4 linked regions of the Lepisosteus oculatus genome follow. The protein of the gene in region 1 interacts with the protein of each later gene in a pairwise test. Links are inferred from orthologs where the notes say so. Each region holds a gene or a part of one and is shown in the gene's direction. Other genes may lie near its edges. The genes, in order: tchp, nme7, ndor1 and krt94.

What was found.
Region 2: the proteins of tchp (region 1) and nme7 interact in binary tests that used the Homo sapiens proteins (3 or more experiments, as listed by UniProt). The two-hybrid records come from large-scale screens. The link is inferred for Lepisosteus oculatus from reciprocal best matches to the Homo sapiens genes TCHP and NME7.
Region 3: the proteins of tchp (region 1) and ndor1 interact in binary tests that used the Homo sapiens proteins (3 or more experiments, as listed by UniProt). The two-hybrid records come from large-scale screens. The link is inferred for Lepisosteus oculatus from reciprocal best matches to the Homo sapiens genes TCHP and NDOR1.
Region 4: the proteins of tchp (region 1) and krt94 interact in binary tests that used the Homo sapiens proteins (3 or more experiments, as listed by UniProt). The link is inferred for Lepisosteus oculatus from reciprocal best matches to the Homo sapiens genes TCHP and KRT16.

What each region holds. Positions count from the first base shown.
Region 1 is NC_090717.1:5,755,803-5,763,736, reverse strand, and holds the start of tchp (trichoplein keratin filament-binding protein), read left to right. Parts: upstream 1-4,920; 5' UTR 4,921-5,071; intron 5,072-5,548; 5' UTR 5,549-5,561; coding exon 5,562-5,752; intron 5,753-6,366; coding exon 6,367-6,577; intron 6,578-6,830; coding exon 6,831-6,887; intron 6,888-7,506; coding exon 7,507-7,575; intron 7,576-7,934. Other genes in the region: gltpa (glycolipid transfer protein), read right to left, coding at 3,292-3,394. UniProt on the Homo sapiens protein: Tumor suppressor which has the ability to inhibit cell growth and be pro-apoptotic during cell stress. Inhibits cell growth in bladder and prostate cancer cells by a down-regulation of HSPB1 by inhibiting its phosphorylation.
Region 2 is NC_090710.1:23,186,045-23,193,539, forward strand, and holds the start of nme7 (nucleoside diphosphate kinase homolog 7), read left to right. Parts: upstream 1-4,478; 5' UTR 4,479-4,776; coding exon 4,777-4,794; intron 4,795-4,965; exon of another isoform or gene 4,966-4,989; intron 4,990-7,495. Other genes in the region: homocysteine S-methyltransferase, read right to left, coding at 326-426, 566-738, 1,332-1,399, 1,658-1,743, 2,998-3,046, 3,289-3,369. UniProt on the Homo sapiens protein: Possesses an intrinsic kinase activity. Displays 3'-5' exonuclease activity with a preference for single-stranded DNA. Does not seem to have nucleoside diphosphate kinase activity.
Region 3 is NC_090719.1:2,813,986-2,821,080, reverse strand, and holds the start of ndor1 (NADPH-dependent diflavin oxidoreductase 1), read left to right. Parts: upstream 1-4,084; 5' UTR 4,085-4,148; coding exon 4,149-4,326; intron 4,327-4,426; coding exon 4,427-4,616; intron 4,617-4,821; coding exon of another isoform or gene 4,822-4,984; intron 4,985-6,402; coding exon 6,403-6,480; intron 6,481-6,608; coding exon of another isoform or gene 6,609-6,724; intron 6,725-7,077; coding exon of another isoform or gene 7,078-7,080; exon of another isoform or gene 7,081-7,095. Other genes in the region: slc2a8 (solute carrier family 2, facilitated glucose transporter member 8), read right to left, coding at 119-301, 980-1,088, 2,054-2,203, 2,828-3,039, 3,356-3,455, 4,822-4,984, 6,609-6,724, 7,078-7,080. UniProt on the Homo sapiens protein: NADPH-dependent reductase which is a central component of the cytosolic iron-sulfur (Fe-S) protein assembly (CIA) machinery.
Region 4 is NC_090723.1:10,006,738-10,013,720, reverse strand, and holds the start of krt94 (keratin 94), read left to right. Parts: upstream 1-3,973; 5' UTR 3,974-4,190; coding exon 4,191-4,718; intron 4,719-5,895; coding exon 5,896-5,978; intron 5,979-6,540; coding exon 6,541-6,697; intron 6,698-6,983. UniProt on the Homo sapiens protein: Epidermis-specific type I keratin that plays a key role in skin. Acts as a regulator of innate immunity in response to skin barrier breach: required for some inflammatory checkpoint for the skin barrier maintenance.

The sequences.
Region 1 (7,934 bases):
CTCCTTTCACATTGTCATGCTACACGGTTCACCTTTATGAGGAATTCACCAATCTCAACAAAGTGGTTCCCAATCCTGATAGTCCCAATCCCAATCCTGATCTTGGTGACCCCCACCCCTGCTGGACCATCCCACCTTCATTAGATAAAGGAACAAGTGAAGGTTTATTCCATGCTGAAAAGAAAAGACACAATGTTTCGGCCCGAAGGAGCTCCCCAGCCGAAAGGATCTGTCTATTCTTTTCCTTTCAGCATGGAATAAACCCACCCTTGTTCCATTGCAGCCTACACATGCCGACGCAGCCACCTACTTGAACGTCTTCATTAGATTACTGAATTCTTAGTTGGTCTAAGAAGCTGCTTCGTTGAAATATTTGCCTTTTGTTTCTAGTCACAGGTTTGGGGTTTTTATTTCACTTTCAAAATACCATGGTTAAAGGTCCAGCATATTTAAGAGCTGGGAACAAACAGTTCAAATTAATCTGCTTAAGAAGGGCACATCCATTCCAGGCAAAAATGGCCTCTGGATGCCTAAAAGATTAAGGCATGTTAAAGGCGATGTCTCACAGTATAAAGCTGCTATAGGGAATCTGTGGCTCACGGGAAATGTTGTGATTGGCTTCGAATAGGTTTGCAATGTCACTGCCCCTCATTGAGAGCCGAAAAATCATTTCAGCCTTCACATTTCAGTGGTTACCACTGAGGAAAGGCTGTGTGGAAGTACAGAATGGATATGTGTGACTGTGTTGTGAATCAGAATGAGGACAGACGTTTATTTTCGAATTTTACCTCCTCGGGATGTCTCCAATTGAAACGTCTAGTTGTAACGTCAGGTGCCTGATTTTGTATTCTCACTAAGATCAGGGTGATGCTCAGAGAAACAAAAGTCCGTATTAGGAGCTTTTAAGAGGATTGTAGAAAGAGCGTTCTAGGACAGCATCCTTGAACAATCTTTGTAATATGAACAGCATGTGGGAAAAAAGCAGATTAATCTGCTTTAGAGGTTATGTAAAAGAACTGTCCCTACCACCCAGTAAAAGCCACTCACTGTAGGAGTTAGGTCAGGAAACATGAAGCATTTGCCTTCCTTTTTACAGCAGATTGTATGTCCAAATCTGCTGAAATAATTTCTGTAAGGTTTGTATACAATATTTTCCAGCTTAAAGCCAATACATTGGTGGTATGTTTGACCTTGATGGAAATCTGTCTGCGTTGTGAAATCTGTCTGGTTATTTAAAGTGGCACCGGGCACCAGGTAGAGATTAAACTACTGCTGTTGGTTTCAAATGCACACATACACTCAGCAGGAGATAAGTCACTGAGAAAGTGTTTTGGAAAAGCACTGGAGTCTTTGGGACATGAGATATTCTATGTACAGTAGTATATAATGCAGCATCAATGCTTAATAGGAGTCAGTCTCCAATTTCCATTCCTTTGTTCTGTTTCGTCTAACAAGAGTATGCTGTAAAGACAATACGCCCCTCACCATTTTATGTATATTGGGGACCCACACACACAAAGAAAACAATGCAATCACACATTAAAATATCGATTACCAACCTTGAAAGACCAGTCTTCAAATGGTAACAAAATGAAACAAAGGACAGTTAAACAGGTAAAACAAAGCATACATCAGATAACTGAGGTACGCCCCTCCTTACAGACCCATCTCCCGTCAGGGAGACCCCTGTGCTACAATCACAATGCCCGTGTCTGCTCATCACTTCAGAACATAACAGGAAATCAGGCAATGATGGGTTTTATACACTCCAAGAGTATACTACATTCACATTCCAGTTGATTAGAGCTGCCTAGTCATTAAAAATGGAAAGTGCTGCTCTGTGCCTTTTACTATATTGTGGCCTTAAAATAAAATCTGTTCTCCATTTAAAGTAAGGCATAGGTGTGTTTAATATGTTGCAAATATCAGAACCTTCAGTCACTTACCCCAGAGTCAATGACTTCCCTAACCCCACCAGGTCTATACAGAACTTAAGTCTTTAAACTGTATTTTATAGATGAAGTGTAGATAAGTGTAGCTATCAAAACAGAATGAGTGTCTATCCAACAACGAGCAGGATAAAACGATTTTGTTATTTTTTTATACACAACATGAGAAGGGACTTTTGAGCTACCCCGTTACAGAATGTGTTCCTTTATAAAGCAGTCGTTAGTCTGTTGAATAACAGTAATTAAACGAGTACTTGTTCATTCTGGGTCAACCCATCGTAGTGAAGCGTGGGATTACTATCAGGCTGTAAATATAGATTAGACAAGCAGTGCGCTTCTCACGTTTAAAGGCAGCATCTTATGTTTACAGCCCGGGATCCAGATACCACCAGGCTCAGGCTATCAGGTTCTTCATTTGGATGTTGAAGCCGGAGAAAGTGAAGAAGATTAAGCAAAGATAAGCGGCAGTTCTATGTTATCGAGACCCTGTAATCTGTTCAATTTCTCTTAAATAAATGTAGGTTTAAATTTCCTCTGCAGTTCTAGGTAGTAAAACCGTTCATGCAGTTGATTTAAAATGCCATTGGACAATTAATAGGAAATACTAATTAATCGAATAATTAATTAGTTACTAACTGCTGATTATTTGGCATTAACAACAATATATGCCAAGCAGCCAAAACGATAAATATACCTCAAGCAGCGCGGCTGTTATGTCTCTTACGATTGTACTGTATTCAAAGAAGAAACGATGTTGCGGTGTAGTGCAGTTCTGCACGTTTTCAGCGGAGTTTCATTTATTGCAATTCTGGTAATCATTGCGTACAGGGCAAGCAGCACTCTGAAACCTCTTTTTTTTTTCTTAACACATGCAGAGCACAAATCTCAAACACGGAACATCACTGAATCTTACAGTAAGCTTCGCCTCCGACCAAGCATTCATCTTGAAGTTACCGAGGCAAAGTTAGACTAAACTTCACGGAGCAGCTGAATGAAAATATTTAACTTCCGATCGTTTAAAAAATGCTACTATTAAGCACTGATATAACAGACCACAACGTAGCGATAAAACTCTTTGTTTACCTGACCGTGGTCAGATTAAATCTTATAAAGAAGCTGGAGCATTAAAACACATTTCCAAAGTGCGTGCATAAAGTGAAGAGACTTCAAGGTGATTTAAAAAAATGGATAATACGACTTCAAGCGATTTAGATCCTTATGTGGAAACACAAAGATAACACTACAACACACCCCGAGATCGCTTTGTTTACAGAAAGGAATGGCATCCGTTGCTAAAAAGGTGATTTGTCCTCCCTGCCCAGGTGAATTTAAAGAAACTTACCGAAGAAAGACGGAAGGTACGACACCGACTCCAAAAACGATCTGGTATCCACTTGCTTATCGGCTGGAAGCTGTTTAAACTGATGCTCCGCTAGAAGAGCCATGGTGCGCGACTGTCACGGCAAAACCGTAATTTAAAACTCGTCAATCGAGGGGGAAATAAAGCTTCAAAAACAGAAACCCGGAACTGTCAGAGAGAGCGCTTGTGTGGTGGAGTAGAGGAGCGACTGAACTGACAGCTCGGGGGGCCGCACAGCGAGCGAGTGGCTCCAGCTGGATTTTCGGATTAGCCTATCAGGTGCAAGGTGGGCGGGACAACACCAGCCAATACCGAAAAGAAACTCCCAGAGCCGTGCGGCACAGACCTACCTGGAACCTTCTGTACCTACAGTACTCGTTGAACTGTGGTCCTTGAGTTTAAACATGGTTCCAAAAAGGAAAACAAAAATTGAGACAGTACAGGGCTCACATCAGGCATGTTGTATCATATTGAATGTCCGGAGGATTTGATTCGTGTGAAGAAAAGGTTTTTACAAGTGTAGATGTACATAATCTCCCCTTTCGCTTTATGGTTTTAGATGAGAGATTTCTATCTAAACGTTTCCTCTGTAAAAGACAAAGAAAGAAACAAATAGATAAGCGAGTAAATAAATTATAAAACGATATATTTTTTTGTTTGCTACATGGTCAAAACGTTGAATTATAAAAATGCCAAAAATAATTAAGCAGCTCTTCAAAAATATGTCGTGATGATTCAATATCTGATAAATCAATCACTATATATACAGTATGTTTAATAATGGGTACTTTTCAAGTCTTATTTGCATTATTTGTATTATTTGCGTTAAAGATATATGCGACACTTAAATGTACTAAAGCAGAACATTGCAAGGGATCAATAATTCAGAGGACCCAACTCCTCACATTCTAAACTTGTGAAAGGGCTTTTCTTTTAATTTATTTATATCCTCTTTACCCTTTAACTGACAATTTCGATATCTGACAACACTTCTAGGGTATAATTAGCCATGGTTATCTGTTCATCATGAAACATTCATAGCTGCTCTATATTTAATGCGGGGCAGACAATGAAATTGAACGAAGCATATTTAATCTTTGTCTCCTACATTCACCAGACAGGTATATCCTATATTGTTGTGATTTACAGTGACTGGTGAATGACTGGTGACGTAAATTTCTACTTTCTTTCTAATTTAAAATTAAATAAAACGCGAAGCTATTATAGGAGCAAACCACGCACACTAAATACTAAATGTTGGATGCTCTATTTAAAAAAAATTAACATTTCAAAGCAAGCAAGTCATAAAACAGTGGGTTTTTAGGTGCTATCTTTGGCATTTCAAGACAAAGTTCAGCTAAACATGTGCCTAAAACGCGTTTCTCTGAGAATTTCTAGCGAGACAAAATGTAGAGTTGCCACCAACCCAGAAAAGTCCATTATATCTGCCATTTCATGCAATTTGTTTGAACAATTATTGTGATCAGCCTTTAAGTGCAGATTCAACGCAGGCTATGGACATCCAGAATGTCGGTTTCGAAACATTAGTTAAGAACACGGGAAACGTCTAAGCATGTGCTTTGTCCCTTACGGCATCCGTAGTGTAACCAGGAAGTTAAACCGGTTACCAAGTGAAACAGGAAATAGCCGAAAGGAACTGTCGCCAACTGAAATTTCTGAAATTTGAAGTTGGAACAAGCTTCCACTTGGAATAAAGCCTACCTTACTGCGTTATTGAAAACGTGATAATCATATTTCTACAGTGAGTATTTGCCTCTTAGACGAATTGTCCCCTTTTGCATGAACTACAAATTCGCATTATATTGATTTCGAGTGCTTATGAAACCAGATGTTTAAACCAAGTCAATATGTCTCACATGAACATTACAATAGTACATCGCGATGTATGTTAGTTTAAAATCGCAGGGGATAAGAACAGTACGATACCACTGTTAAACATAACGCGTAACATCTAAACATTTATCTATGCAATATTGTTGAATACTTGCTTATTTGTGTACGGTAACGCATTTAATAATGTAGAAGTCTAAAGGTGAATGAGTTGTTATTGTCATTTTTAGTGCAAGGAAACTAGGAATACCCATTGTAAAGTTTAATAATGGTAATAAGGGTGTAGAATATAATCATCTGTGGTCCTGTGACATTCTGTTTTAGTATTGATTGATGTTTGAAAGGAAAGGGTTCCTACATTACAATGAACGTTTGTTTTTTTTTTAAGGTGCAGGAAACAGATGGCTCTTCCCACCCTCTCGATGCGCTGTCCGAGCCGCTCTCGAGTTCTGGAGCAGCAGATCGTGCGACAGCGGGAGCAGGAGGCTCGCTTCCGGCAGCAGTGGGAGCTGCACTCGCAGTATTTCAAACAGAACAACGTGCGGAGCAGCAAGCAAGCCCAGTGGAGCTCCCGACAGTCTTACCACCAGAGGTGATTCAGCAAACCTCTTTCAACAATGTGTTTTATTAACCTCAATGTGCTGGACAACGATGAATCGTTGATTTTGCTTTTTGTTTACACGCGCTTTGCTTGGCAAAGTGCTTTGGGATGTTCAGTATGTGGTGTTTGAGACCCATCGAGGATAATTTGCTGGGATGGAATTAGATCACTCTTATAAAACAGTCATTCCCTTCTACAGGCGTTCAATCCTTTTTAGAACTAAGATAAAAAATAGGAAAAACGTTATTTTCATATATACCCGTTGCAATAAAGCAAGATTCCTTGATTCTTGCCTTGATCTTTAAAAAAGAGCGTGAGAAAGGTTACAAGTTAGAGGAGGACATGCAGCACAACTAGCTCATGTAGCTGTTTATAACTCATAGATCCGAGGGTTTCATCCAGCAATTTCGTGAACAATGTCAGGGTATCGCGCTTAACAACATGGTTGGGCAGCTTATTCCGTAAAGTTATGTGGAGAAAAAAAAGGACTCCTGTGTTCAGTTTTAAAAGTGCTTTCATATTCCACTGGTCTACTAATAATTCTTAGCCTTGTGAACTGCTGAGTTTTCCCATTTAAGTATTGGCAGCCTCTCTCCTGTTGCCAGCATGACAGCCTACCATCAGGAGAAAGTGAAGGAGGAGAAGAAGAGGAGTCTGGAGCAGCGCAGGGCCCGTCTCCGAGCCTTCCTGCAGGAGGAGAGGGACCAGCTGGAGGCTGAGCTCAGAGAACTGGTCCCCGACAGAGAGACGCTGGCCAAACAGATGACAGAGAGGATGGAGGGGCTCAGGACATCCAGGGAAGAGCGGAGAAAGAAGGTACAAGCAGTGCTCACGTTACAGAAACCAGTTCCTGTAGTTTGAAGTAAGCAGGGAAATATTTCAGCCTGATCCAGCCCTGACATAATCAATCGTGTTATTGTGGGATTCGTGCGAAAGATAAAGGTTCAGGGTGAGACAGAACAAAGACAGCTGGTGCCAAGCTATGACTGGGAGAAAACAGTGGCCTGATCATCGAGTTAGCTGCATTCTTGTTGGCAATCCTTAATGCAGTTTTTGATTTTGGTCACAGGTGGCAGAGGAGCTGTTGCAGGAGCATTGGAAGAGAAATAATTCAGATTTACGTCAGGTACAGTTTGTTTTTCTATGCTTTATGTGGTAAAAGCATGGTCTGAAAGTTTATTTGCAAACATCACTTTGTTATTTACTTGTATTTTGAGGTACATGCAGAAGGCATCCAGTTATATGAAATTTGTTCATCTCTAGTATTTCTGTATCCTACGTGTTACATTCTGAAAGGTAGGGTACTCTTACTAACTGCAATGAATCTTAAGGATCAGTTTTTAAAATGTTAATGTTGTTCTGAGTCCTTGAAATACAGCAAAATTAAAGAGAACCACATGGTGTGAAAGTGTGAGGAGAAGTGCGTCAAGGTGTTGACTTGATCCTGAAACTAATAGGCCATTGACATCATTGTTCCATGACAGTGTGTAATCCTGACCCTAGGATTGAGTTCCTGTCCCATAATGATAAATTATTTCTTCAGAGACCTGCTACCTGCAGCAGGGGATTTTGCAGAATCAATTGAAGCCTAAGAGACTGTTTTTTTTAATTTAAATAGACATATATACAGCTTAATATGCAATTGTTTTGACATAAAAGTTTTATCTGACTTTCTGTCTTCTTAGTGTTAGGTGTTAAAGTTAGGAAAGAAATCCTTAACGTCCCCTTATACTTTTATATTCTAGGTTGAATCAGCATTGCACAAGGACCATGTAGTGAACAGCTGGCAGGTGCAAACGAGAGAAAAAAAACAGGTACCTGCACCATCACCATTAATTAACATTTGCCCCTATGCCTTATTGAGAGGCATAGGGTAATCTAATACCAGTTCTTGCTTAACTTTGCAGAAAAGCAAAATGCACTGGCACCTAACATTTGAAATGAATGTTCTTTCAATATCTCCTGTTAACAATTATGCTTTTACTGAAGTCTGAGTAAATGTATCATGAAGTTAGATGTCATTTGAAGAATGCCATGGCCCCTCATACATCTCCCTGGTGGTCAGGCAGTATGACTTGGGTTAATTGTACATATCGCTGTGTGACACTCCATTGTAATACATCCTGTGAAACTCAGGCTGAGTCTAAGAGCCACAGGTCTCTGGCCACTGACC
Region 2 (7,495 bases), on another chromosome or scaffold:
ACCAGGAAAGTGTGATTTTGGTTAAGAAAAAGATTCAAATAAATCACATTTTCACCTAGGATAATGACAGTGGATGGACCACAAATGTCCTACAGAGTTCACACTGCAACACGCCTGCCAAGAACCTTCCCAGAGAAACCTCTTTCTCTTCCTCTTTCTCTGAGCCATGGCTAACTTGCAGTGTGATTAAATCTGGTGCACATTACTCTTATACTTATTTACTTATTATTACTTATTTCATTAAAATAAAATGCACATTACTCTTTCAACAGAGTGTTTCAGTAGACAAACAAATACATTAAAAACAAGAATTAGCTTGTATTACCTCTATACTCATTCCCTCCTCGTAAGATCCCGTGTACTCAGAGCCATCTGACAGAAATGCTCCATAGGGTCCAACAGAGCCAGCAACTAGTAGCACCTTTTCTTCAGAGGATCAGAAACCGTGTTTTCTTAAACCAGTAGCTTAATCAATACATCACAAGGATTATATTCCAGACATCGGATATATGTTGAACTATGGAAAATATAGATGTCATTTCTTACAAAAAGAAGCTGCATTTACCTGGCTGAAGACAGTTCACCTTGAACTCCTGCACTGTCTCTCTAGCTATCTGAACACCTGACATCAGTAGCTGAATTGCTTCTTCTGAAGTCAGACCCAAGTGCTTGATAAATCCTTCCACGCTTGCCTGATATGTAGCTGTTGTGACAACATCAGAACCACTACAAAGAAATCTACAGAACAATAAAAGTATTACTGCTTTTTGTCAGCACTACCTACAGTATGTCAGTGGTAGCCAACCCACATCCTGGAGGGAAATAAACAAGTATGTTTTATGGGTCATCCTTAAATCATCAGTTTCTTGACACTTGATAGTATTTTATCACTGAATCAGATAGTTTCAAGATCATCAGAAAAGAAAACACCTGTAGCTCTCCAGTATAACAGTTGGCCACTCGTGTCTTAATTGAACAAATTCCATTGCTTAATTGATCAAACTGTTCACATCTCTCGTGTCCCATGTTTTTGCAAATTAATGATTTAAGGGTGACCTTTAAGAGCTGCTGGATAGTGGCTCTCCAAGACCAGGGTTTGCCTGTAGTACCCTTGATCTACCCACTGTATATGTTCATTCAATGTATATCACATGGTATGCTTTAAATGAAAGAGTACTATATCCAGAAAAAAACTTGTTCTTATGAATATACAGAAACAATAAACATCACACCTTTACCACTATTTTTGATGTATTTGCACATTTTATGTAAAACTTAAAATAATAAAATACAGTGTGTGTATGAAGTGAAAACTCTGGGCTAGGTTTTACCTGTAATGGGCATCTTTCACAGCCTGGGGGTTAGTGTGCAGAATCCTAGCACTCCACAGTGGATCCCCCTGGAAAAGTGAAACATTATAGTATTTGTCTAGCATTACTGTGCCTTACTGCCTTTCATCTTATTTTACATATATTACAAATGACTGTGGGCTCTCAAACATCATGAAAATAAATGGATATATTTCTAACTGTATGAGTATAATAAATTGATACAGTACATAAGAACAAATTGCTTGAGGTGTAAAACATGTAAAATATACAGAAGCAATAAACCAAAGTTACCTAGTCCAGGTTTACTGTATAAATCATTAATGTACCTGTATCTTTACACCAGCTGCTTCCAGCTCTGTTGCCAATCCACCATCCAGAATGACTATTTTGCCATCCATGTTCATTTTTCTTTCTGAAAAAAACATTTTTAAAACAGCTTTAGCAGATCTATGTCTCAAAGATGGTTACTGAATATAAATATTTCGCTATAAAATGTCACATAACAACATGCAGGTATTCAACTTCAGGGTTTCTAAATATAACCTAAAATTAATGACATGAAATGACAGAAAGCCTTGTAGCACCCGATTCTGACCATGTATCAATCAAGAGTTCTGGTGAAACAGATTATGACTCAAATGTACAATTAGTCATATTATCTGGAATAGTTCAGTGTTTTAGCACCACCTAGACACGTAGAACAGGGTTAAAAAAACTTTTTACAGAGGAGAGATGCAGTTGTATCTGGTAAAATAAACAAGTAATGCTTTCAGAGATATTTTACCTTGTAAAAATGTCATGATGTGTATAAATCTAACAACCACTTTAATATTCACACAATATTATGTGTGAAATGCATTAATCTGGCCTGTTATGTGTATTCTGCAGACTGGTTATTACAAAATAATATATAAAAAAAAGTATAGAAAAAATGTTACAAATTTGGAATTAAGCACAAAATAACGAACCTTGTGAAATGACTAAGTCACCAGGTTGTCACAAACCCCAGGTCTCACCATGGTCGAGAGAGTTCCCACAAATTGTGTCATGTAGCAGCCCTTCATGCTCGCTAGTCACTGTATTGACTCACGTAATGCGATGTACGAGAAAATAAGTACAGGTTGTGGAGCAGAGATTTCACCACAGCAATATTACAACTGTGATCTGCACGCAGAGTTAAGAAGTCCCATTTATCCGCAAAACCGTTTCCAAGTCACGAGCAATATTTCTATTGGATTCACAAGCCTACTTGTTCACAATGTAGTGGAGCCGCTTTCCCTCACCGTATGTTTTTTGTTGCTTAGTCTTGAATCGCAGAATATGGCGCTGTGCTTACCTGGAAAGGTCGTACCTTTTGTGATGTAAATTGAAGGTTTTACAACTTACTGTGTACATTTGAATTATTGGCGCTCGTTCTTTCAAAAAACCGAAATATCAAAATAGCGTTGCAGTTCTTTAAGAATCTGTGGAACTGCTCTTTAACCTGCAAATAGGCAGAATCGCATGAAAGCCTAACTGTATTGTGATTTGAGAAAACAGTACATTTGTACAAGTGTATTGCGTATTGAGAAACTTCAGGTCACATTTTGATTTTACATCTTAAGCTTTAAGAAAACTTGAACTTAAAGCATGTGAACTAATGCTTGCGGCTCCCATAACGACGTACCTTTCCCCCAGTTCCTCTGACTCTGTCCTCGGTCGTATTGTAACTGTCTCTGCAAGGAAAACACATGCCTTTTTATTTCCACAGCAACTCTACTATACTCGAACAATATAAAAAGAGAAAACAAAACAGAGCTGTCCAAAAACACACTTCTACATCTATTGTACTGTATTTAAATTAACATAACAATGACATACTAAGGACTGTATTTACATGAACAGAAACATTATATACTAAGGCTGCCATCTGGTCGGTTTTTAAGCGAGAATACTGCAAAGAATGGAACCTATATACCTTTCGGCTGATTTTATTAAAGCCGGCCAAGAGTTCAAAAGGGCAGGCTAAACATACACAGACGGAACAAGATCTTTGCATGATCGTTTTATTAAATGTAAGGGTTTAATTCTGACAGCTCTCCTTTAAGACAGTGATATAAGGTTTCATTTAAAGTGTCAAATACTTTAATTAATAAAATATATTATATAATACATGAAGATTACATACATTGAAGACTCACAGTTACGTATTAAGAAAAGAAAACAAAGATGACGACAAACGCGTCACAACAACACACACCGCCTTGTTCATAATAACCTTTAAGGTCATAGAAATACTTCCTCCCTTGACAAGCGTCACCTCGCAATTTGTTAGTTAGATACTATAAATCAAACAATCAAATGTTTTCATTTATGAAAATAAAAGCTATATATATATACTTTACTTTTAGCTTTTGTTGCTATTTTTTTTCGCCAGCGCGCGCGTGTTTCCGTACGCTTCGTTACATTGTTGCTATGGTGATGAACCCGGACAGATGCCGCGGGTTGACTGACTAAACGAGCGAGCACAGACCCTTCAGGATGGTGAGCAATATTTTGTTTTGTTTTTTTATCTGTTGCATGGATTTTATATTTCATTTAACCCATTATATATATTTATGTTTGTTAACGTTTAAGGTCGAATTGTAATTGTAAGTTATACTGGAAAAGGAGGTTTTGATCTCTTGTTTTCTTCACTTTCCTGTATTTTTAAATCACTTAAGAAAACGACTTTCAAAAAGCACATAAGGGAATAAACTGGGATACCTATATCATAGCTAAATTCGGGAAGCTCTTTTTTTGTTAGCCAAGACGTCTATAGCTTATCAAAGTATGTTTATTGAGACACTTAAAAATGGCTCGTAATTTGGTAATGTTTCTGATGTTGACTATGATATCTTCTCAGTTTTGTCCCGAAGCATTTATTTGTAGCTCCAGCTCCTGCATCACTCTGTTTTGTAGTTTTGCAGTGTGTAGCGATCACAAGGTTTATAATTTAGCCTATTCTTACTCTTAAAGAACAGTTTGTGACGTTGCGTCTCTTTATAGCTATAGTGCCTCTTTGTGCACACTGTTGGTGGTTACATGATATATAACGAGGGTACAATAGTTATAAAAATAGTTGCATGTCAGTAGACGCAGTAGTCGTGCCTCATAAACAAGGCACTAGCGACTGTAATGTTTACTTCTACAGCACTTGGATACACAGCATTCATAATGAAGTGGTAAAGAGCTTCCTACTGTCGTCGTAAACAGATTTTGTTCTGAAGGGACATTCAGCATTGTTTCACAACAGTTGTTAACAGATCTACAGATCTGCAGCGGCAGTGTATTAATTGGGGACGAATCCCTGAGGTATCCACGTACACGTATGTAAATAACTTCGTCTCGTATTCTGTATGATCATAACCGAATAAAGTCAGGTCCTGCCGTTAAGATCCAGCGGAGGACGACGCATTCCTGCAGGATGCAAGGCTTTTCAGAGGTCAGATATTTGCCTTATGATGAAAATCAAACACTCACATCAGATTCATTGCGATTGCTCTAAATGCGAGGACGTCGAGTCTCATTGTGTTACGAGAGTGACGTTACACCGTGCTCTTGAAAAGCGTGGCTTTCCCTGAAAATTGACGAGAAAAACTAAATAAGTGCTTACATCCCCCGCAGATGCTTTTACGTTTGGCCGTAGTCCTCGAAGGTGATAACCTGCCTTGAAGTATCCGTGTTTTTACTGCTTCCTTAGCTCACGCTCATCCTTAGTTCAGCTGTACCGCTAGGTGTCACATTTGCTCCTTTTACTAATTTTTGAAAAGCAAAATTTCAATGTTTTGTTTTTCCTGCTCACTAAAGGGCAAAGCTCTGAATAATGACTAGTAAACAGATGTTGACTATGATCCTTTTTATATACCTGCAGAACAAAGAACAGCAGGTATACCAAAGCATTTACCCGGTTATCATAGTCAATGAACGTCCTGGAAACAAGTAAATCTAAAATGTTATTTTGGGGGGGGTCATGCTGTGCTCTGCTTTTGTACAGTTCGGGGGGAAGTAGTCAGCCAGAAACAAATGACAGTATGCAAATTAATTCTGTGAACTACATCATTCATGGTTTGAAGACGTGCATGGAAGCCAAGGGCTTCCCAAGAGTCATGGGCTTGAACATAGATTCGGAAAGCGACATCATGGTTAAAGCTGCGTTAAGTTTTAGTCCACAGCAGTTAATAGTTAATTGCATGACATTCCTCTCATACATGTTACAAGTGAGTTGCTTGTAACATTTTGGAGAACTGAATCCTATTGCGTTTAACCAACATATTTAACATGGTTCGGCCACATCTTCCGAACATCCAAACCTCATGTGTGATTTTATCATCCTTCTGTAAGTGCTGTTACTTAACCTGCTATCTCACATTTGTGTGTGTCATTAGAGTGGCATTCTGGTTTATTGAGGTTGGCTTTCTCGTGTCAGATTCTCCACAATTTGATTACCTGTAAAAAGCCCAAGTATTCTTCTACTTGTCAAACACGTTTTTTTGTTTTTTTTTTTTTATCTTGGCATGAGGTATGACTGTGGGATAAAATGTATCCATACAGATTGGAAATTGTTGATTGAAAAGGCACGGGCAATTTCAGTCCACATTCTGAAAGTTCTTCTGTAACTGCAGAGATGGTAGTGATTATAACAAAAGGGATTCTTTTCAGTCTCCACTGATGTTCCATGTGCAATTTATATGAAGGTACAGCAATAAGAAACACTGATGTCAAGCTGGTCTCCATTTCAGGCACCTTTTAGTTCATGGAGCAAAATGATATAATAGTGCTTGAACACCGCAGGTCTGCCTGTCAAGCTGCTGATTTGGACTTTTTAGTTGATGTCTGATTTTTTTTTTGTTTTGTTTAATTTTAAATAATTTGAACGGATTTTTAAATAGAAACAATACTAGGTAGGGCATTCACACAAAATAATTGAAAATCATTAAAATTTCATGCACTTAGAGACAGCCACTTTTTGAGACCCTACAAATCAAATCTGCTGAGTTGTGACATCGGTGGTGCCTACAGCACGAGGCTGTTAGGAGAATAGCTTCTATGTCTACTGCTTGTGTTAAAGCACTTGCTTTTGACAGAATGATGCTGTTAAAAGCCAAGTGAGCTTTTTCTGGAGTCATTCCTAGAGTTATTAGAGCATTTGAGGAAAAATCTTCCTTACTGCGAACCATTTTTCACCAGTGTTTTCAGGATCTGCCCCCTGCCTGCTCGACCATAAATTAGGACTGTGTTTACTTCCTGATTTCCTAGTCAGCCACAGCTGCTGTTTCCCATGGGTGTGCACTGCCTGTGCAGCTTCTCTGTGGGAGCGCAGCACTGCACACCTTTTCTGTCTCATCTGCCTCTCGCTCGGCATGCGGGTTCACAATATTCCTCACAGATCCGCTGCTGGTTCCACCACAGTGGTAGATTATTACAGTATGACAGAGCCAAGCACGAGGGCGAAACACTCCATAACCCTTCCTGGCAGCCCTAGGAGATAAGCAGACTAGTTTGAAAGATTGAACAAGTTCACTATTACACATACTAATTCAGCAGACAGTGGCTAAATTTTGTGCTGCCTCTCCTGCTCCTGCACCTGCAGTCAGCCCCTCATCCTGGACCTGGATTTCCCTTGGATGAAGAGTCTTAACTCCCACTTTGCCAAGGACCCTGGACTTCTCTGTGCTTCAATACCAGTCCTCCTTAAAAGCACCGCACCTTTATAGCAGGGCACACCTCAGATCACCAACCTGCTGATAGAATGAAAAGCACAGATTCTTCCAGCAAGGTAAAAGTTCAGGGTCAGCCACAGCTTCAACCACTTTTGGAAACTTCTACCTCCCAGAAAGCACTCATCTGCCCACCCACTGAAGGCAGCTTTTCCAAAGAATCTTTCCACTGTCCAGCCCGCAGTGATTCCCGAGCTTCATGACTTCCCAATGCCTTCCCAAGAGCTACGCCTCTTGACATTTCTGTGCTGGATCCAGAGCTCAAAGTTCTGCCCTCTGTCAGTGGTGGAGGGGACAGTGAATGCGTAACAAGCCAGCTTTTCTCAGACGCCCTGCCTGACAGTGATGGTCCCTCTTACTGTCCAGACGAAGTTGCTTCACTTGGGGCCAGGAATCCCATCCACCTGGGCCTCTGGCTGTGACCTG
Region 3 (7,095 bases), on another chromosome or scaffold:
GGGTGACCATGGGTGGGAGCAGCGTGGGCACAGTCCCGTTCCCGGATTTTCTCTGCGAACGCGAATCTTGAGAAAAAAGAACCCTGGTTTTGGAGGCCAAGTCTTCCTGAGGCTGTACCTGCGATGAAGAGCCCCATGCTGGCCAGGGCCAGCCAGGCCAGGCTGCCCTCAGAGGGGGGCAGCGCAGAGCTCTGGGCGGCCAGGAGGGGGACCCCGCTCAGAGAGGAGCCGTTGGTGGGCGCGGCGCTGGTGATCTTGAAGTACGCCCCAAACACGGCCGTGCTGACCGCCATGGCCAACCCTGCGGACACACGGTGGGGGAGAAGGACAGCCAGCATTACCATCACCAGCCCGGGGGGGGGGCGCTCAGTCCTGGGCAATGCAGGGGTACCGGGGGTTCAAGTCTCCAGCACAGATATTGCTGTGGACATTGTACCCCACATGAGCCAGGTACTGCACCCCGAATGCTCCAGTCAGCCCCACGTGTATACAGGAATATCGGCATTACTGACAATGGACTAGCGCCCTCTACAGGGCAAGACTTGGAACTCTGCTTAATACAACACAAAGACAATTTGTTAATTGGATCTTCCCTGCAAGCCCAGTACAATACCAATCACACACTGTGCGTAACAGTGTAACCCCAGTGTCCTGGCCAGATTCCCCCCTGGCCTTTACCAGTCATGGCCTCCTAATAACCCCCCTCTCTGCTCTCCTCCCTCTGAGAGCTGGTGTGTGGGGAGCGGACTGAGGCACTCTGGCTGCCATCGCATCATCAAGGTGGGGGGGGGTTACACATTGGTGGTGACAGTGGGATTGCCCATTCCCTGTAAAGTGCTTTGAGTGGAGTATCTAGAAAAGCGTGGTGTAAGTGTAAGGGTATAATTACGATTAATTATTTAACTGCTGGTGCTTTGCAGGATCAATGTAACAGTCTGCGTTAAAAGTCAGAGACCGCATCGGCCCCGGAGAGACTCACCCGAGAGGACGAGCAGGACTTTCCTCCCGGCCCGGTCCATGATGAGCGCCGCCAGGGCCGTGAAGACCACCTGGATGGCAGCCACGATCACCGTGGCGACGCTGCTGGCCTTTTGAAACAAACAAAAAAAAACAACCCGCCGTTAAGCTCATGGCACCGATCCCTGGAATCCGGCCTGCGGATCGATCCGGCGGGGCTCCCTCGGCCGTCTACAGCCTTGGGAGATGCCTCCCCCCACCTCCCGGTCCTCCAGCCAGAGCAGGGAGGGGAGGGGGGGGGTGTTCCCGCACATGGCCGGCCCGAAAGTCGAGTACGGAGCTCGAGAAATATGTCCTTCCCCATCGAAGGAGCGGCACCCGGCATGCAACGTACTGCACCACGGTCGCCGGTCAGCACTCCGTAACCATCCGGGTTCTTCCCCCCCCAGGACACCGCAGTGGGGAAACTGCGGACAGCGGAGCGATATTTGAGTACGTTGGGCTGCTGTTCCCAACACCAGCCTGGACACGGCACCCTGAGGGGATGCCTATGGAATTTACAGGCGGTCACGGACTACTCCGGAAACACGGGGACGTCTGCGAACAAGGATGCTGGGTTCTGGCACCAGACTTGAGGTTTACTCATTAACAGTGACACAGGCTCTCCCTCGTTAACCTTCTCCTGGCTGACTTCAGTTCGTTTCTTGAGCTGAAGATGAGCGTCCAAGCAAAGGAACGGAAATATCGAGGGAACTGGTAAAACGTTGACAACGCCCACGGGGGATGTCCACCGCACTCTGCCGCACCCGGCCAACGCGGAAGGGAAAACGGGAGGCGTCAGCGGAGCTCGTTCGGGCGCGGCCACGCCATCTCCCTCCTCGTGCGTCGCAGGGACCTCAGCCACCTGGGCTGGGGGGGGGTCTCCTTTAGCTCACTCGGCTGGTTCCCTGTGGCGTCACGCCGGGAGACCCGGGTTCGCGCCCCAGGTGTTGCGGGACGAACTGGCGGGGTGGGGTGGAGGGGCGAGGGCGACACGAGGAGCCCAGACTGTGTCTGTGGCGTGACGGCAAAGGGGGGGAGGGCGAGGGGCAGCTACCTGGAAGTTTGCTTCTTCGAAAATGGTCTCGGCGTAGAACATGATGGCGTTGATCCCCGTGAGCTGCTGGAACAACATCAGCAGGACCCCGATGAGCAGGGGCTTGTAGATGGCAGGGCTCCTCAGGTCTCCCAGCTTGAGGCTGTCGCCCTGCGACACCCGAGGGGGTGGGAGGGAGGGAAACGCGTTAAACAGCAAATGGGGCCCAGACAGACGGCATGCAAACAGCGTGGCGCAACTCAGCGCCGCTCTCCGCTGCACTGAGCGTGCACCCCGAGGCCGGGACAGGCTGAACAGGTGTAAGAGGGGCCAGCAGGGGGCGCTCACCCTGCAGTCTGCGTGGGCCCTAATGCCCCAGTACAGTGACGGGGACACTATACTTGTCCTTCGGATGAGATGTAAAACTGAGGTTTTGACTCTCTATGGTTATTAGAAATCCCAGGGCGTTTCTCAAAAAGAGTAGGGGTGTCCTGGCCAAATTTCCCCCTGGCCTTTACCAATCATGGCCTCCTCATAATCCCCGTCTCTGAACTGGCTTCATCACTCTGCTCACATCCCCACTGAGAGCTGGTGTGGGGGGAGCGTACTGGCGCCTCATCCAGGTGGGGCTGCACATTGGTGGCGGCAGTGGGATTCCCCATGACCTGTAAATCGCTTTGAGTGGAGTGTCCAGAAAAGTGCCATATACAGCAAGTGTGAGGGATTAATAATGATAATAATATCATAACTTCATCTTTACAGTCTTGGCAAGGTGCCCCCCCCCCCCCGACTCACCTGCTCCCGCGCCGCGGCCTCGATCTGCACGCACTCCCACTCGTGCGGCACGGCCGGCCCCCTCAGGAAGCGCAGGGCCGCCAGCGCCTCGTACTCCCTCCCCTGGGCCAGCAGGAAGCGCGGCGTCTCGGGCATGAAGCACATGAGCACCAGCATCAGCGCCGGCGGCACCGAGCACGCCACCGCCAGCCAGCGCCACTCCAGCACCAGACCTGGGCGGGGAGAGACGCAACCGGGTCGCTCGTTACCACGCCACTCCCCGCCTCGTGGATCGGATCGGGACCAGAGGGGGGGGCAACGACAGCCAGGTAAACCCCACCAACAGCACAGAGTGATCCCGTCTCTCCGTTCAGCCGCGAGGTGAAAACCAAACTCCGGGATGGCACGGGTGCGAACAAGGAGTCTGAGACTCAAGAGTCTTGTGAGAACACGGTTCGTACCCCAGTCGCAAGGCACAGAGAGCGGAAAGGAGGACAGGAAGCGCACCACGGGGGGGAACAAAGAAAACGGACAATCCGAACGGTTTACCTGCGATGTACGCTCCCATGATGCCCGTCACCACCATGAGCTGAACGCAGGATCCCAGCATGCCCCGCACCCGGGCGTGAGCCGTCTCCGCGATGTACAACTGGGGGGGCAGACCGTGCGATCAGTGAAGCAGACGTAGCGGCAGCACTCAGAATTCAAGCGTCGTTAAAGGTTTCGAAACTTCCCGTTGAGCTGACAAACCCCCCCACCCCCACCCCCAGGCCATACCCTGGGCCTCTGTGCAGAGCGCTAGGAGCCCGCGGGGCAGAGAACGACACTTCACCCGATATTTAATTCAACTTTCATGCCGCCCGCCCGGTAACCGCGGCAAGGCCCAGGGATGCTGGGAAACCCGCTGCTCGGGTTTGTCCGCTGGCCTCCCCCGGCAACTGTTTCCAACGGAGCCGTTTTTCCCTGCAATCGGACGCGTTCAACTCTCCTGAAACCCAAACTCGACCTCTTTGGAGGGAAAAAGAGCAGCCCCCCCCCTCCCTTCTGGCAAAACTATTAAACAGACCCCTTTTATTACTATAATGTTATCTCTGCAGAGGCACTACAAACGAACAACTGACCCCCTTATTAATATGCATTAATAAGGAATTTACATACGAGAACAAAGTGGTTTTTCATATCAGACAAGACATAAGTCATTGGCCTCATTAAGACTGCTAATATGTTCTGCGTCACTGCGTTTACTCTCATTATCCCTGCTGCTGCTTTACATACAGGCACTGCTAAGGACGTCACCCCGCTGGCCAGTCCGGTCAGGACCCGTCCGAGGTACAGCATCCAGATGTTCTGCGCGGAGATGATGATGTTGAAGCCGAGGATGAAGGGGACGGCGCAGACCATGAGGCTCAGCTTCCTCCCGATCCTCTCCACCACCCAGCCGCCCAGCACCCCCCCCGCCGCCGCCCCTAGAGTGACCACGGACTGGGGACGCACACGGGGAGACACGGACAGGCGCGGAGGTCAGAGGTCAGAGGTCGAAGGTCCAGGCGGCAGGAGTTTTTAACCCTTTCCGGCCTGAATTTTCGTCTTGGTGTAAAAAACTGGCGGTGTGTGTTTCAGGGTTAAAGAAAACGAGTCGTCCGTCACTCTGTACTCCAGTGTTACCCAGAACCCAGAAAAAACTCTGCCCCGACGCACCCCACTTTCAAATCCGCCACCCGCCCAGGAATCCCAGGAAGAGCTGGTGTTTTCCCAGCACTGCCTTCGGCAAACACAGCTCAGCGCCTGGGGACGCGTCTGCTTTCGGAAGGTAAGACTCAATAATAATAATAATAATAATAATAATAATAATAATAATAATTTTTAACTTATAAAGCACCTTTCCAAAGCTCGAGGACGCTTTGCAAACGCTTCTCTGTCCTGTGCAAGGGAGACGCACTGATCGGCCTTATTACAGATCAATTTTCGATCCCCTGCCCCTTAAATCGAGCGCACCCAGAAAAAGAAAGCCCTACCCCGAACCAGGACGCCTCCTCGTCGTCCAGCTGCAGGCGGGGGTCCCCGGCCCTCTTGAGGCTGGGGATGGCGGGGGAGCTGTAGCCCAGCACGAAGCCGAAACTGAGGGGCCCGAGCACGGCGGCGAAGGTGGCCAGGAACAGGTTCCCATTCTGGACCTGACTGGAAAACACAGCATCGGCTCAGGGGGGCACAGCAGGATTTGAACACGCAGGTTTTCTCCACAGAGGGGGGGGTTGGATCAGTCACGGGGCTTGGCGTTGGGGAGGGGGGGGGCATTAATAAAATATAACTGCTTACACTTAGATAGCGCTTTTCTGGACTCTCCACTCAAAGAGCTTTACAGGTAATGGGGGATCCCACTACCGCCACCAGTGTGCAGCCCCACCTGGATGATGTGCCAGTCCGCTCCCCAAACACCAGCTCTCAGTGGGGAGGAGAACAGAGTGATGGAGCCAGTTCAGAGAGGGGGGTTATTAGGAGGCCGTGACTGGTAAAGGCCAGGGGGAAATTTGGCCAGGACACTGGGGTCAGTGTAGGTCATTCTTTCAAACCAAAGACCTAGTCGCTCTGCTCCGGACCGCTTCCAGAGCAGCGCTGCCTTTTCTGGACTGCGGTGATCAAAATCCTATCAACGCACAACATTCTAAACTGACGGGTTATGTAGAGTTTTAACAATACGCTTGTCGATCCAGGTTCTACCGTTTTAACTGCGCTGTATGTCCTGACTGCGCCTTCGCTATTGCAGCGCGGGAGGTGACGAGCGTGGCTCACGCACGTCTGAGACGGCATCCTGTCTCACCGGTTACACAAGCACCGCTACGTTAGCGGCCGTTAGCGGGCAAAGAGAACGCTACAGCGCACAGCAGCAGACAAAGGACAATCAACTGTTTTCCTGAACTTCAAGGGAAACACAGGCAAAGGTTCTGAACGCCTCTTTATGCAGTTAAATGAGTCAGGGAATTTATTAATGATTGACGAGAGTAACACATTGTACGTGCACACCCCAGATGCTGTAATACTGCTTTTTTTGTTTTGTTTTCCCAAGTCATCTGTTTGGTCTGGATGCCAAGTAAGGATAATTTATTTTAAAGAAATGAAAACAAGACCCGGAGCAATCAATTGCTCATTAAGGGAGGGGGGAGAAGGGGAAAAAGAAATATGAAAAAAGACCTGAATAAGCTTGGCTTCCCCCCCACGTTTTTCCCGACAAAGATTTTTGGTGCAGCCTACTCCAGGACCTCAAACACGACCCCTAATGGTCAAAGCGTCTTTGTGGGACAGTGTAGGTGAACTATCACATGTGAATCACATGACTACAGCATTTCTCTGCGGGGGGGGCTGCCACTGACCTAAATACCGTCAGGTTTTAGTTCAAGCTACATACTTGAGCTCTAAATTACCATCGACAGGGGTGACGCCAAGCGCCCACCTGACAAGAGGAGCGTCTTTCGCCAGCCTGCAAATTTAGAGGACCGCGCACCGGCTTGGGGGGGGGATCGACATCGTGTTTTCGGTTTATCGGCACCCACAACAGCGCCGATGGCCGATGATAACCTCTTCACTTCTGTATTTTACAGCTCGCCCCATAAAGCAGAACTGGCAAGTCAGGGTTTCGATCCTCTCGCCTCACTGTCGACGAGAATTCACCCCCCGAGGTATAAACCGCTATACCGGACTATCTCACCCAAGGGGCAAGCTGAGCAAACGCCGGCCACCCTTAACGCCGGGGCATTTTCATTTTGAACTGTAATAAACGAGGCACCCCCCAGATGCTCGTACTTACTCGAGGTAGCCCTCCCGGGTGCTGTCCGCCTCGGACAGAGGCGGCGAGTTCACGCCTCCGCGCCCGGCCCCCAGCAGCGCCTCCTGTTCCTCGGACTGCTCCATCCTTCGGGACGCCTTCGATACAAAAAACAAAATACAGACAACGAATGAACCGGGGCCTCCCAACACGCCTTCCCGGCAACGGGTTTGGCAGAAACGCGGCGACCCGAGCTCCTGGGCTTTGCGGTAGCCCAAGGCTGTCCCGGCGACCGGCGCAGATGCGCGTCGTGCCGTGCCGTGCCAAAACCGTGCCGTGCTTACTACCATTAAGGGTCGACGGAGCTAGCCAACGTCGTTTTCCCGTGGCGTGCCAAGCAAGCACGCCGTGTGCGGCAACAACAACAACAACAACATCAGAGCATTGAAGAAGAGCTCGGAGTGCTTCTCCAGGTGTCAACTACGAGGAGACAGGGCAGGCGACAGATTACCATTCACCAGCCGCAGAC
Region 4 (6,983 bases), on another chromosome or scaffold:
AGAGAGGAGTCCAAAAGGGGAATCCAAAAGGGGGCAAAAGTCCAAAGCCGGGCAGTCCATCCAAGACAGACGAGATTAAAACAAGAACCGGGTCAGGACCGGCACGGGAATGGGAACAGGAACAGGAACCTTGACGGGACCTGGCGCTTCCAGGTCCTGGACTCGCCTGGTACAGGACCCGATGCAGAGCCCGGAACAGAGTAGAGATCTGGCTTTTAAAGGGGGCTGGAACAGGGAGCAGGTGCGGGAGATGAGTGAAAAACAAGGAAGGGCTGGAGCGCCCTTAAGAGGAGGGGTTTACGATTGTGACACAGGGGCCCCGGGTCACGCACTCCCCCCTCGAATTCTGCAGCATAATCTATGTACTGGACCAGGAATCTTGTTAAATGTGAGAAACGGGGCGGAGCGGTGGCTCTGTGGCTCAGGATCTGAGCCTGTGGCTGGAAGGTTGCCGGTTCAAATCCCACAGCTGGCAGAGGAATCCTACTCCATTGGGCTCCTGAGCAAGGCCCTTAACCCCAACTGCTCCAGGGGTGCCGTACAATGGCTGACCCTGCGCTCTGACCCCCAGCTTCTCTCCCTGTCTGTGTGTCTCATGGAGAGCAAGCTGGGGTTGGTGAAAAGACAAATTCCTAATGCAAGCAATTGTAAAGGGTGAATAAAGTGATGTTATACACAATGAGTGGAAGAAGCAGGGACAGCTGGGTGCAGTGATGTGACCTGGGCTGCGAGAGAGATGGCCAGCCTTCAAGCAGCTGACACGGGCCTGGGAAAGCTTTTATCAAGCTGTCAGCCACACGCAAGGGACCGCCACGCCTCCTGGTATTATATTTCCATGTTTCAAGGTTTCGACATCCATGACAGGTGTCATGGTTCCCTGTTTACAGAAAAAAATCTGGACTTTCTAGCTCCTGACAAAGGAGCGATTCAGAAGGAGAATTGAGACAAATTGCTCACCTGAGGAGTCTGTGTTGGGCAAGTCATGATTTGGGCTACTTCCAATTTCCAAGGCAACGCAGACAATAAATACCTCCAGCACAAGCTGAGGCAGCCCTGAGCTGGGAAAGTGCAGAAAGACGTTTCTAAACGCCCCCTAAAAGCCGACATGAATGTGAGAGCAAAGCCAGACTCTGCACTGACACAAACATCAATTACAGGGTGATCCTTACAGCTTTGATATTCATCTACAGTTTCAATTCTAGAAGGAACCTGTATAATGAATATACAGTTGCAGACTAAATTGTAATGACTGGTTGGTAACTTATATTTAAAATAAAATCAGTGGCAAATAGTCACTATAATGATCAATAGTCAAACAGTCTCTCTCCAAAGTCGATCATTCTTTCAGATAACTGAGATTGTAAGATATTTTTCCTGTTTCTTAGTTCTCTTTCTTCTTTTTTTCAGGTGTTCTTGCTACAGTCTCATTTCTCCAGGTTGAGAGCATCGCTGTGTGACAGTGGTGACTTGTTTTACTAACAGTTCTCCAAGTGAAAACTACAAAAACACATCCACGTTTTATAGATTATTAAAGACTCCTGGTCAGCTTTGTACTACATCACCAAAATGCCTGAACCACCCAGCCAGTAATGTTTGGGCTTGCTTCGTTTGTCCTTGACACTGTGTACACACAGAGAAGTATGTGGAATTTTTAATTCATTCATTTAATTCATTTTTAATGCATTCAGTTCCTTCTGCATAGACATAAATACCTGGAGACCAGACTTTAGAAGCTTTGAGAAATATATGAATATGGCGAAAATGTGCTTCATGCAGAACAAAACTTTTAGAATCAGAAGGGCAGGTTGCTTCAGTCTCAGAGGTGCTGCAGCCCAGGACAGCAAGCGCTGAGCAGGGGTGTGCCGGCTGTTCCTCAGAGGTCAGATAAGGTATGTTAGAGCTGGCTGCACCCTGCACACACCTCCCTCTGTCATCTCCCCAGGGGTCAAGGTTCAGTCCCTACAGGCAGTCAAAGCCTCCTTATCAGATGGCGTTTGATGTTTAGGATTTTGTATTTTGGGGCTGAGTAGGGGAGAAATGGGGGTTGGTGAGGAGAAACAGGAATCTGGAAATTCTGATAGATTGAAATATACAGATCGTTTTCCTGCAGCTCCCTATTCGTTTCCTGCCCTGTTCAGGAACAAGCCGGCTGGGCTCCCCTGCCCGAACAGGTCCCTGAACTTTGGGATGATGGGATTAGTAGATTAATTATCTAGTGAACAGGGCCATTTGGAGAAATGACTCTGCTACACTTTTGCACTACTCAGAATATTTGTTTTCTAATATTTCATTTCATTATTTGAGTTATTAAATGCACAACCACAAAAGGAAACATTTTTCTATTATTATTTTGGTAACAGACACCCGAATTGCTGGTGTGTATAATCTAACTAAAGTATACGAGTAAACTAAACAGATAAAAAGGCACAGGAAACAGAGTACATACCAAGCTGACTACACACCTGGGGAAAGACAAGCCTAGCAGCAGCAGAGATGTGCAGGTGCCCAGCAGTGAGGTATTACAGTCTAATTACAAGGCCAGTCTATGGGGGGGGGGGGGGACATTTGGACACAACATGGTCAATCACAGCGTGACTGTTTATAGATACAGTATCAGCGCAAGGGAGAAGTTCTTCCTGCGGTTTCTCACATGCCTGTAGATGGACGTTGCTGGATGGGAGCACTAGGGTGGGACACGCTCCAGTGAGATGACTCGTCTCGTTAAGATGGGGTACTTCTCGAAACTTCCCAGGGCGTTTCTCGAAAAGAGTAGGGGTGTAACCCCTCGGCGTCCTGGCCAAATTTCCCATTGGCCCTTACCAATCATGGCCTCCTAATAATCCCCATCTCTGAACTGGCTTCATCACTCTGCTCTCCTCCCCACTGAGAGCTGGTGTGTGGTGAGCGTTCTGGCGCACTATGGCTGCTGTCGCATCATCCAGGTGGGGCTGCACACTGGTGGTGGTGGAGGGGATCCCCATGACCTGTAAAGGGGTTTGAGTGGAGTGTCCAGAAAAGCGCTATATAAGTGTAAGCAGTTATTATTATTACTTCTCGTTAAGACGAGGCAGAAGAGACAGGAATTGTGAACTTGTTTCTCTTGCTCTGTCTGTGAACAGCAGGAGAGAGCCCAGGTTAAGCCCTGTGTTGAGGTGGGGGTAGGGTGGTGTGGGGCACAGAGTCCAACACTCTCTGAGCCTCCTGTACAGTTCGCCGTGCCGCTAAATTACAAAGCTCCGAAATGAGGGCAAAACACTTAAACTGCCCATGGTGGCCGAATCTTGGTGGTGTGCACATGAGGGGATTGTGTTGTCTGATACAGACCAACTGTAATTTGGAATAATTAGGTATGGCCTGTATTTAAAATGTGTTTTTCTATTGTACATCCAGAGCAATAGCATGAACAACCTGTATCGGTCAGTACAACCAGAGACTTCCTTCCAGCCACCATGAGGTGTGGGTTGGTGGCCCCCAATGCAGAGTTTCAGAACAAATAGCAGCTCTAAACAGATGTTCATCAAAACACAAGGCTGAAGCTGAGACGGAATGGGGAAGACCACCTCCCTTTTTGGAAAAGAAATCTGTTCATGTCTGCCTGTGTCCATGTCATGTCCAGCCCCAAAAAAAGGAAATCCAGATTCTCGAATTGAAATATACAGATCGTTCTCCTGTGGCTCCCTGGTCTCTCTCTGCTCTGCCAGGGGCGCCTCGTTCCCAGACCGCGGTGCTCCTGGGCGTGGAGAGATTTTACAGCCTGCGGGGACGCAGCGCCGTGTTTGGATAAGGAGGGACCCACGCCCAGCGCTCGCAGGCTCGGGAGCCGGAGAGCAGGTCTTCCTGGTGTTCGCTGTTCGACAGGGCGCAATGCAGAGCAGGCGAAAAAAACAGAAGAGCTGGCAGGCAGGCACAAGCATATCTCTCCAGTTCTCTCATTGGGCAAGAAACTAATCCGGATCATTTAAGAAACATTCCAGCAGGTCGCCCCGCCTCTGCCGAGCACTCTGCAGCCCCCCCCAGGATCCGAGACGGGAGGAGGACTGTTGCCCAGCGGCCTCCCCTCCACACCCAGTGCGCACTATATCAGGGGGAGGCGGACAGGGCTGCGCTGCAGTCTCCTGAATCTCCAGGCTCAGGTGCTCCAGTAGCGGTTCAGGGATTCGGCAGCTCTTCCTCTCCTCCTCACCAGCAGCATGTCCATGTACAGAATGAGCAGTGGCCCGCGCTCCAGCACGGTGACCACCAAGCGGGTCAGCATGGTGTCCTCTGCGCCCAAGGCCCTCAGCATGTACGGAGGCCTGGGGGACAGGGCCCGCATCTCCGCCTCCTCTGCCCGCTCCGTGTCCTCGGGATTCGGAGCAGGCTACGGGAGCGCGGGAGGGGGCTTCGGTTCCGGAGGCAGCTTCGGCTTTGGAGGAGGCTTCAGTTCAGGTGGCGGCTACGGTTCTGGTGGCGGCTACGGTTCTGGTGGCGGCTACGGTTCTGGAGGCGGCTTCAGCCTGTCCAACTCCCGGGACTCCGACCCGGTGTCTCTGAACGAGAAGGCCACCATGCAGAACCTGAACGACCGCCTGGCCAGCTACCTGGATAAGGTGCGCTCGCTGGAGGCCGCCAACGGCGAGCTGGAGCTGAAGATCCGGGAGTTCTACGAGAAGAAGGGACCCGCTGCCGAGCGTGACTACAGCCCCTACTGGAAGACCATCAACGACCTGAAAGACAAGGTAACTCACCTGGGCTCCCTGCCCCTCATGGGTCGGTGCACCATCATACTGCATGCTCTGATAGGTACAAGCATGCTGTGACTATGACTAACGTCTGGCTGTTGTTGTGACCTTCTTTGTGGAAGCATGGTTGTCCTGTGATGGATACATCACAGCCACACTTGTTATCATAGGGTGCCCACAACTGTCTTTAGTGACCTTTAGTTGTGAGGCTGACAGAGCTGTGTCGAAGGGAGGCAAGCACTGCACTGCATGGACAGGGTGAGAACAGGGACAGAGAGCAAAAGGCTCAACCTGTTTTTATTGTGAGGGAATGATATTATGCTTTAAACCAGAGTTACAATGTCATGTGTCTTACAAAACGTGGCATGTTTACAAAAGGGCAAAACATTTCTATAAAAATGCCTCGGTTGAACTTAAACAAGAGAGGAAAAGCGAAGAGGAGAAAGGAAAGGTAGTAAAGTATTCTGCCCTGTGCGTATCTGAGGGATCGTCAGGCTGATGCAGCAGGTGTGGCAGGTAGAGATCTCCTACTGCACCTGTCTGGTGTTTCTGATGCTCCAGGCTACAATGTTGTGGATGTGCAGTAGAGGGAGGTGTACAGTCAGGTTCTGAGCATTGACTGCTCTAGCCAGTTATCAGCACAATGTTTCTGCTTCTCTCAAGAGCATAAATTCTCACTACATGATCTTCTGAGAGCACCAGTCACTGAAACAGTCACACTTCAGATACAGCATCCGAAGAGCAAGCACCACTTCCTAAAGCAGTTTGCACAAGTAAACATCACGAGAGAAACTCTTAACAGTCCTGACGGGTCTGAATAAAAGTCAAGGGCTTAATTTATTTTATAAGATATATAAACTTGCACCGCAGGCTCCTAGAACAGGAGAGGACAAAAGGAACAAACACACAGATCAGTAAATGCAGGTGTGTTTCTGTGACAGATAGGCTAGGGAAAGAAAAGATCAGCCCCACCTCCGTTGACTTTGACCTGAGTGCAGGAACCTGGCCAAAACTCTGCTGGCACTGAGCTCACAGAGGCTGCAGAGCCCAGCCTGGGTGTTATCACCTGGGCGTTTCCCACTGTCTGTCCTGTGTGTGCTGTCCCGAGCACCAGGAATGGGCTGTAGCTCTTCTCCATCCAACATGAAGGTTATCTTTCCTGCTTCTGTTCCAGATTGCCGATGCCACCATCGACAATGCCAAGATCCTCCTGCAGATTGACAACTCCAAGCTGGCGGCTGACGACTTCAGGACCAAGTAAGGACAGTTTGCATTTCTCTCTCGAGAGAGAATAAAGTCTTACAAGAAATTTCCCTGAAATCAATGCAAATGATTTGGATTTGTGAGAGATTTTCTTATATGTGTGAGGCTGAAGACACCACTGGTATCCAGTTGAGCTTCCACTAGTGTTTTCTAGCAGATGTGAGTGCGAACGAGGATGAACTTCCACTAAGGGAGACACGTGGTGGACAACCACCTTGATTCTACATATGGTTCCATAGCTGTCTGGGTACTAGGATACAGAAGAGTTCATTTCTGTAATTATTGGAAAGTTTGAGGTAGATCTTTCCTGTTAATAATTCCGGAAGAGCAACCCACTTGGGTTCCTGTAAGAGAAAACTACTATCTACACCTTGTTGATAAAGCCAGACCAACCCAAAACCTCCTCAGATCCCCAGATTCCAGTTTCCCAACCCGGTATTGTCCCAGCATGTCCCTGCAGAGTCCTAGGGCACAGATCCTATAGGTTATGCCAACCACACCACGCCCTGCCCCCCCAACCCTGTCCTCACATCTCGCCCCCCCCTGTCCTGCACAGGTACGAGCACGAGCTCATGATGAGGCAGTCGGTGGAGGCTGACATCGCCAACCTGCGCCGCCTGCTGGACCAGACCACCCTCACCAAGGCTGACCTGGAGATGCAGATCGAGAGCCTGAAGGATGAGCTGGCCTACCTCAGGAAGAACCACGAGGAGGTACGCCCGGCGCCCCAACCCCACCCAGCAGTATCAAACACGCAGTAATACCAAGCTTCCACTGAGGGAGACGTCTCACTTTGACCCTGTTCAGTCTGGGAGCCTGTTTCTCCAAAGGCACAGGACTGATGTGGTTTTGCTCGTATTATTTCTTAGCTGTTTTTAAATAAGTGTGTTGTATCTGAAGGTCAGCCTCAAGAATGGACCCAGGGCTCTGTGCAAGATAAAGCAACAGGTGGCTCTGGGCTCTTGTTATCATCCTCTCTCTCTTCCCACACGTGTTTCA